Linked DNA regions of Arabidopsis thaliana. The protein of the gene in region 1 interacts with the protein of each later gene in a pairwise test. Each region holds a gene or a part of one and is shown on either strand. Other genes may lie near its edges.

The links. The genes of interacting proteins can lie anywhere in the genome.
Region 2: the proteins of AT3G09690 (region 1) and AT3G10260 interact in a two-hybrid assay, tested with the Arabidopsis thaliana proteins (one large-scale study listed by BioGRID).

Annotation. Positions count from the first base shown.
Region 1 is NC_003074.8:2,970,241-2,975,403, reverse strand, and holds AT3G09690 (alpha/beta-Hydrolases superfamily protein), read right to left. Parts: upstream 3,592-5,163; 5' UTR 3,388-3,591; intron 3,231-3,387; exon of another isoform or gene 3,121-3,230; 5' UTR 3,049-3,120; coding exon 2,634-3,048; intron 2,376-2,633; coding exon 2,184-2,375; intron 2,087-2,183; coding exon 1,847-2,086; intron 1,733-1,846; coding exon 1,515-1,732; intron 1,417-1,514; coding exon 1,162-1,416; intron 1,076-1,161; coding exon 812-1,075; 3' UTR 561-811; downstream 1-560. Other genes in the region: AT3G09700 (Chaperone DnaJ-domain superfamily protein), read left to right, coding at 154-310; AT3G09680 (Ribosomal protein S12/S23 family protein), read left to right, coding at 5,113-5,117.
Region 2 is NC_003074.8:3,170,668-3,174,721, reverse strand, and holds AT3G10260 (Reticulon family protein), read left to right. Parts: upstream 1-1,729; 5' UTR 1,730-2,153; coding exon 2,154-2,394; intron 2,395-2,468; coding exon 2,469-2,649; intron 2,650-2,733; coding exon 2,734-2,875; intron 2,876-2,977; coding exon 2,978-3,047; intron 3,048-3,139; coding exon 3,140-3,309; 3' UTR 3,310-3,500; downstream 3,501-4,054. Other genes in the region: GYRB1 (DNA gyrase subunit B), read left to right, coding at 1-106, 196-249, 333-438, 624-754, 849-917.

The DNA.
Region 1 (5,163 bases):
TAGGCAGTAGGTATGCCACACTAGTTTTTAACAAGTTTGCATAGGGGCCAAACTATGTTCTTACACAAGGGTAAATGGTTTGCATATGTTTAGTGGTGGTTTTTGCGACATTATTATGGCTTGATGAGTTTGTCACTTGTGGTGTTTGAATAGGGAGAGTGTAGCGGCAGAGAAGGTGAAGGAAGCTCACCGTAGAGTGATGGTGGCTAATCATCCAGATGCAGGAGGAAGCCATTACCTTGCGTCTAAGATCAATGAAGCCAAAGACATGATGCTTGGAAAAACCAAGAACTCTGGTTCTGCGTTTTGAAACCCTTTGGGTGAGGTCGATTGATCCCAACCACAAAGCCATGTGGCCTAGTTTCGAGTAGTTAGTCTAGATCGTTCTCTTTAAGCAATAACCATTAGATTGATTGATCCTATCAAGCCATGTAGTTCCAAGTTATTGGTCTAGTTCATTTTTTTATCATGATGATGTATAACGTGGGTATTTAACTTTTTCAGCGTGAGAAATATATAAACCAAACTGAAAATGAGTCTAGTCGGATTCTGGTTTTGTTCAAACATAAAACTATAAGAAGAAAAAAATATTGCATTTCCAATTAAGGGATAGCCGCTTTAATAAAATGTTCTTTCACTTGCACTCTTTGCAGTGCCAAATGTACTCTCAAAATGAACTCTGCTTTGTTATAACCTATAGAATCTGAAATCTTCAACCAAAGCAGAGGACTAAATCATCTTCTTGGTGTTATTTACACATTTCTCCATAATGGAACGAAGACCAAGAACAACGTGTTCCTATAGTTCTTTTTTACTTACTCTTTGGTAGTGAGCTACTGTCAGATAAACCTGTCTTTGGTTGATCCGGTCTATGGGTTTCCGTTCTTTGTTCCAATAACTCTACCGGGCCCTTTGGTTCTCCAAATATGGCCGAAAAGATCTGCGTGTGGCACTCATCACAGAGATAGAAGTAAGAGAAGTGGCCTTCGTTTGGGAGTCTATGTACCGTTGCTTCTGGTATGACTCGACTAATGTAATCTGTCACTGAAGGTGGAGTGACTCGGTCGTCCATACCCTATGTGACCACAAGCAAAATGAGTAACTCACAACTTGACAAAGGTGATCTTGTAGATGGCGGTTTTAAGTGTGATTTCAACAAACCTGCCATATGTGTATAGGTTTCCGAAAACCAATTAGTTCACATTCGGATTCACTGTACATTGACATTAGCCAAGAGAGGACGCCATTGGTTCTACACTTCTTCTGCATGTGGAACTCGGGAAGACTAAAGCCCCAATTTGATACCTGTAATGCGGCTTCTTCCACAAATGGTTTTGCAGTTCCTTGGCGTACAGACTCCTCCACATTCCTTTGGTAAAGATCTTCAAAAACTGGATCTGCGGTTACAAGTTTGTCCTGAAATAGAAAAGTGGTGTATACAGGTTTAGCTTGTGAGCCATAACTCACAAAGACTCAAAACCTTGGGAAGAAACACTTGATGAATACAGACTTACCTTTTCTCCTAATGACACTGACATCCACTTATCCAGCGGCTCGAGATTACCAGAGAGAAAGGACCTACGGTAGGAGAAAGGAAGAAGACTTGGCCACCGACGTGCTAAGAAGTACATGAATTTCCTCTTTCGTTGCCACTGCTCCCACGTTTTTGCCATCTCTTCCTTTGTCATGCTTGGCTCATATGGATTTATCATAGGCGCTACCATGGCAACTCCTGTAGATTTATAAAAATCAATACCTTCCCATATTATTTTGTGTCATTCTGTGAAAAACATGAGTTGGCCATGAATTGTGAATTTTCAAATTTTATCCAAAAAATTGAAGGTACCAGCTATTTGGTCCGGAAAATATCTCATTGCAGCCCAGGCATGCACACTACCACTGGAATAGCCGAGTAACCAGAACTTGTCAACAATCCCTAGAGCAGCAGCTAGGTCAATCATATCCGAGGCAGATGAGCTAAGGTTCCGAGCACGATGGGGATCACTCTCTCCAAACCCTGGAAGATCATATGACACTAGACGAACACCATAGTCCTTGAGCAATGATTCTTTTACTCCAGGTATACCTTGATAAGATAATGTTGAAACAGTAGAAGCAAATCAGATGTAATTGCATCATTAAAAGTAAGCTGAAGCTGAAACAAGGAGCTTATTTGATCATACCTGCAAGCCGAGAGGAAAGAAAAGAATGAGGAACAATTAGAGAGTGTCTAGCTCTGTCAGCTGAAACACCAAGCTCCTGGTAAGCTAAATATCTACCATCTGGAAGCTGTACACGGCTTGCACTAGTAGGATGCAGACGGATTTTCTTCAACAAAGGGACAGATCTATCATGGTCTGAACTAAAACTCAATGCTGCACTTAAAAGTTGGATATGTCAGAGTAAGGATACAAGCCTCTCTTGCACCAACGAGAATCTATTCAAGACTGCCACTTAAACCAATATCTAAGCAGAATCAAGTTAACTACATACAACAACCTCAAAAAATTCTATAAGGTTCATCCCAATACACAGTTTTCTAGCAGACATTTTGAATAACTGTTCATTATAAGAGTGTGGCATTGCAGATACATAATGGTGATCCAAAACCAGAAAACTGTTTGATAATATACCTGTGAGAGCTAGGAGGAAGACGAAGAAAATCACAGGCCAAGCATGAACAGGATCACGATCCTCAGGCAAGTACTCGTTAAGGAAGCTAAGCTTCTTCGAAACCTTAGCAGCTGGTTTCCGGAGCTTCCTTACAACGAAAGAGTCGTCGGTCACCACCATCTGCTGCACAACGTCTTTGCATCCGATTGCGAGATCCATAAGCATTTCTCCCCAAGACTTCATAAACCCCGTCACTTGATCTTTCAAACTCTCCACTGATTCGGATCCAGAACCCGACTCGAAACCCGAACTCTTTGACCTCGATTCAGTATCCGCCGTCAAATCAATCGGAGATCCGTCGTATTGTAAACCTCCGTCCATGAGACTAGCTAACTCGTCTTGCCACGTAGGCACTCCTCTTCGCATCTCCTCCATTATCAAAACGAAATCCCTAAATCCCAAGTCAGGACCAACTCTTCAGAGCAACAAGACGAAGAAGAAGAAGACCTGAACATACATTAAAGTGGGTTCTTATGAGCAAAGAGAAGAAAACACAAAGAGCGCGAGAGAGAAGAACATGGCGATAATGAGCTGCAAAACTGACACCTTTACAAGCGTGAACTTCAAGCTCACTTTTTTTCTTGACAAATATATATAAAAATTACTTCTTTCTAATTAAAATAACTCAAAGAGAATAATTTCAATAACGAATCAAAATCTTTCTCCCTTTTTTTTTGCATTAGAGAAATCGAAAGAGACAAAAGCTTCACTTACCAAATGACGCAGAAACAGCTTAGACGTCGTTGATAATCATGGTCACCAATCTATCTTCTTCCATTGAACATTTTTGCAATATTCTACCTTGATTTAGGACTGGTTATTGTCAAAGAAATTTACTCCAGTCCGCCATTGACGATCCACGATCCTTTTCCTGATTTTTTTGTATTTTACCGGTTGAATAAACAAATAAGGACCGTCAGATCAAGATCGCTTTTTTAAGAAAATGGACGGTCTTGCATGTCGTTTATCGACGCAGAGTACCGGCTGAACCGGTGCGTGTCGCGCGCTTCCTTATGCTTAGCTTTGTGTGCCTTTTACCTGCTACAACCGGTTTCGTTTTCTGACGTGGCGGATAGTGTGGGAGTCGTGGGCTAGTAGGTGCACCGTGCACGTGACTAGGACTGGAATGTTTCAATGCAGCGTATACGGTATTACGGGAAAAATGTCGTTTTATACGTAAACTTTCAAAAAGTGACCATTTAATACGTGAATTTTTTGTGTGGCCAAATAAAACATAATAAAAATGTTGACCGGTCGTTTCACACAAATGTTATTGTTGACCAGGCCAAAATCCCCATACCGTTATCTTTTTCTAACGGATACGTTAATTCCGTTACCACACGTTAATTAGTTTCCTGTAATACTCAAAACGACGTCATTTCATTGAAATCAAAAAATCAAAATTCCCAAATTGATTTCAAAATCCCTAAATTCCAAAATGGAATCCAATTCATTTTTCTTCAATCCATCTGCTTCACATGGCAACATCATGTTCTTCTTTAGGAATCTCAATCCCGTTGTCCAAGGTTCTTTTCTCACTCTCATAATCTTATTTCATCATGTTGGAAGTTTCCCTGTTTTTGTTTTGTTGTCTTGTGAATAAAATGTTACGAACACACACACATGAGAACCAATTTGAATATGAATAATAACATTCGACTATTGACAGCAGTTGTTCGTTTGAATTCACGAAGGGGGAGGAACAAGATCGATGATGAACAAGGAGGAAACATCAAAGCGAAGGCCCTTCTTTAGCTCTCTTGAGGATCTTTACGACGATGACTATTACGACGACCAATTGCTGAAAATAAGAGGCTGTTAGGGATTTGGTTTTTAGAATTTAGGGATTTGATTTTTGGAATTTAGGAATTAAGGATTTGTTTTTTTGGAATTTAGAGATTTTGAAATCAATTTTAGGAATTTTGATTTTTTGATTTCAATAAAACGACGTCGTTTTGAGTATTGACGGAAACTAATTAACATGTGTTAACGGAATTAACGGATCCGTTAATGAAAGATAACGGCATGGAGACTTTGGCGTAGTCAACAATAATATTTGTGTGAAACGGCCGGTCAACGTTTTTATTATGTTTTATTTGGCCACACAAAAATTTTCGTATTAAATGGCCATTTTTTAAAGTTCACGTATAAAACGACATTTTTCCCGTATTATTACCTTAAGGAGTTGGCATAATATTTGGGTTGACATGTGATGGGCCTTCTTGTTAAGCCCAAATATAAAAATAATCATTTGCCGTTTAATCAATTTCATTGCAGACCGGTTAATGCCTAAACCAGGGCTCTCACGAGTCTTGACCCAAGCCTATATATACCTATTTTCTTATCACTAGGGTTTTTCAATCTCTCACGAACTTAAAACGTCGCGCCTTTAGCAGTTTCAGCTCATCTCTCGACTTTTTCACTCGCGCCGTCGTCAACATGGGGTACGGTATCCTCTCTTAGACTCTTTATGTTTCAGTCTCATCTCTC
Region 2 (4,054 bases), 200 kb from region 1:
TAACAAGGAGAATCTGCGTTACCATAAAATTATCATCTTAACAGATGCAGATGTTGATGGTGCACATATCCGGACACTTCTGTTGACCTTTTTCTTCAGATATCAGGTACTAGTTTAGTTTGATAAAACATTAGTTGAAGTAGCCTTGATTGCTGATTGAGTTATGTGAAATTTAATGAAATTTACTTTCTACAGAGAGCCTTGTTTGACGCGGGTTGCATATACGTTGGTGTTCCACCTCTTTTCAAGGTAAGCTCTTAGTATCTATAATCTTATGCTTCAGATTGAACGGAATTTTTTTCTAAAGCTAGTCTCTCTGTGAAAACGATCAGGTTGAGAGGGGGAAACAGGCGCACTACTGCTACGATGATGCAGCTCTTAAAAAAATCACTGCTTCGTTCCCTGGAAACGCATCCTACAACATTCAGAGGTTCAAAGGTAAAACATCCTACTTCTCACATCATGAATGTGTTCTTTTGGAAAGGATAAATAACTATGAAAAGTAATGTATAGTAGTTGTTATGTGTTAGCTATTAAGATACTCTTGAGTGTGTGCATAACGAAATCTAGATTAGTCTCAACTATTGGATTCTATGTAATGTTTCTTGCTTTTGCATCTGCAGGTTTGGGTGAGATGATGCCTGCGCAGCTATGGGAAACAACGATGAATCCAGATACAAGGATATTGAAGCAACTAGTTGTTGACGACGCAGCAGAAACGAATATGGTCTTCTCATCTCTGATGGGTGCTCGGGTAAGCCAATGAATTGCCAGACTCGGACTCATGATAATAGTCAATAAACTGGCATAACTCATCGTGACAATGTTATGTTCTGTGTATGTTTCAGGTCGATGTCAGGAAGGAACTCATCAAAAGTGCTGCGACTAGGATGAATCTGGAGAATCTCGACATATAACACAGCTTATAGTTATTGCTTCAGCTATATACAAACAACAAAGAAACGACTCTGGTGAAATGCAAAGGGAGACATCATCATTTCAAGGTTAAATCATATAGTCACAGGCCAACAGGATTTTGTTCTTCTTCTGGCCTATAAAGGACAAAATTCATTGTTAGGATTATCTCTTTCAATGTCAAAATTTAGCAATTCACAAGGCTCTTTGTTGGGCGTTTCTTTCCATTGGAACTAGAATTTTTCTAGAGACAAGAGAAATTTGCATTCACTAGGTATTTACTATATATTATGACTTCAACAATTTGGCATTCCTGAAAATCATGCATGCGACGAAGTTAAAACTAATGATTAGAAGGAAGATGAGAAGGTAACTATTGTGCAATGAATATCTTCTCTGCCTGTTGTATTGATTTTAATTGTATTCGAGGTTAAGTTTTGACTGATGTTTTACTAGCGATCGCAGAGTGATCGATAATTAACAAGTTTATTTTTCGATTTGGTAGGTATATAGTGAATTAAACATGATTTTTGTTCTTCCTGAACAACCTAAAGCAGTGTTATGAACGCATCACGCATGTAACAACCAGTCAACCATATTAGTGTGACTTTAATTCATTGAATAAATGAAATTTTTTTATTTTCAACAAGGCTTGTAACGGTTGATAAATCTACTCAGAAAACTTCTTTTTGTTTGTCTTGCAAATACAAACGATACGTTTCAACTCTTTTTTTGGCGTCCAATAATACTTCTTAAAAAATAATTTGTTTATTGTCATGAGCTACACGTGGGAAGACAAGTCCTATCCATTATTACTACACACTACTCCAACATTTGCCCACATTTTGAAAAAAACATTTTTTTGTAATTCAATTATTCGACACAACCAATCCCATCTCTTGTTTCACTTCCGCCCTCCATCTTTCTTCGTGATTGAGAGAATCTTCAACGAAAGAAAGCAACTTTTTTTGGGTGAAATTCACAGAACAACCAAGGTTTTTCTTCTTCTTCTTCTTCTCCAGTTCCTACAGGTTTACTCTTACTCATCTTCATCTTTGTCTCGTTCTTGCTCTTCAATTTCTGGTCTTTTTGTTGTTCTTGTCTTCTCGCCAAATATACTAAGATCTAAGTTTTATATCATTGTAATTATCACCAACGAACTGTTAAGACCAAATTTGATTACTCGAAATGGTTTTGGGTTTAGGGTATGAAGAACTGATCAAAAGATTCAATTTTTTATGAAGTCAACTTTCATCTGCAAATTGAGCAATCTCAGATTTCGATTGTGTTTCAGAATCATGCCTGACAAGAACATCGTAGAGGACGTTATCGGTGATTTGGTGGATAACTTCACGGAGACTGTTCAGAAGAACAAACATGGTTCCTCCTTCTTCGAACAAGAAGATTCCGTCAGTTCTCGTTTCAACCGTTTGTTTGATCGCCAGAAGCCAATTCATCATGTCTTAGGCGGTGGCAAATGTAAGAATTCGTATACAGGAACATAAATATGAGATTGGTTTTTCTTGTAATTGAGTATTGAGAGATTCCTTCAGCTGCTGATGTGTTGTTATGGAGGAACAAGAAGATCTCTGCAAGTGTTTTGATGGGAGCTACCGCAATTTGGGTGCTTTTTGAATGGATCAATTTCCATTTCCTGTCTCTCGTTTGCTATGCCCTCTTGCTTGGTATGATTGCACAATTCGTTTGGTCTAACGCCTCTGGATTCTTAAACCGGTAACTTGTTGGAGTGTTGTTGTCATTATTATTGGTACCTTGTGATTGCAATCTAACACAATGTCCTTTAATGTCTCAAAGCAGCTCACAGTCTAGAGTGCCTCGCCTAGTTCTTCCAAAGGATTTCTTTGCTGAAGTCGGTGTGGCCGTTGGAAAAGAAGTTAACCGCGGTTTGTTGTTTCTTCAGGACTTGGCTTGTAAAGGGAATTTGAAACAGTTCCTCATGGTGCGTTGTTTGTTTCAATAACCACAATCTTGTTTGTATAATGTATTAGCACTTTCATTACTATGCTAAGATAGAAACTTTGATCACAATATCATTTTTCAGGCTGTAATCGGACTATGGGTAGCTGCAATGGTCGGGAGCTGTTGCAATTTCCTAACTGTTTTGTATATCGGTGAGTGGTTCTTATTAGTGTATCCTCTTTTGAGATTGGAAGTTGAGTAATACAAGACTTTAAAGGGATGCATTTTATGTGTGTGTGTGAAGGGTTTGTTGGGGCACACACAATGCCGGTTCTGTATGAGAGATACGAAGACGAAGTGGATGGTTTTATGGATTCTATGATCATGAAGTTTCATAGTCATTACAAGAAGCTTGATACTGGGTTTCTCAGTAGAATCCCAAGTGGAAAGTTTGGATTAAAGAAGCGTGAGTGACTAAATCACTCAAGCATTTTCTTATTTTACCTTGTTTGTTGTTAGAACAATATGGATTATGGTTTGCTAAATGAATGTTTTGAGAATATTATTCATTCATGTAGATTTTGTGTATTTCCTTACTAAACAATACCTTGTCCATGTATTTGTCAATACCTTGGTTAATAAGAGAATCATCATATCTGTCAAAATTATACAAGTAGATTGAGAGTTCATTAACTCAATGTCTAAAAATGTAAGACTTAAAACAAGTTTGAATCAAAATTATTTCACAAATCAAAAGTATGGTTTTCTTATTTCGTAAGAATCGTTGACTAATATTGACCGGCTGGCTAATAAGAAGATCAGATAACTCTACAGGTATGGGATCCACCATTGTCAAACATTTTACACGTGTCAGCTTCCTGAGCTTCGAAGCCTGAATGTTAAAATTAAAAAATTTAAAAGAAAGAAATATAAAAAGAAGTAAATCAAAGAAAATGGAGTAAAGAAATTGATCCACGATCGATCAACAAAGTGAGGTTAGGTTCCATCTCCACCTCTTTCTCTCTCGAATCTTCTCCGATTAAAGGTGCTCTTTTGCTTATGAAATTTGTGTTTCTTAAGCTAATCGAATTTGTTTTCTTGATCGTTTTGATGTTCTTTTTTTTTTTTGTTATTGTTGTTGATTTGATGTGATCCGGTTGTATTTGAAGACGAAATCGATTCGAAGTGTTGAGGTTTAGTTTGGGGTAAAATAGATGAT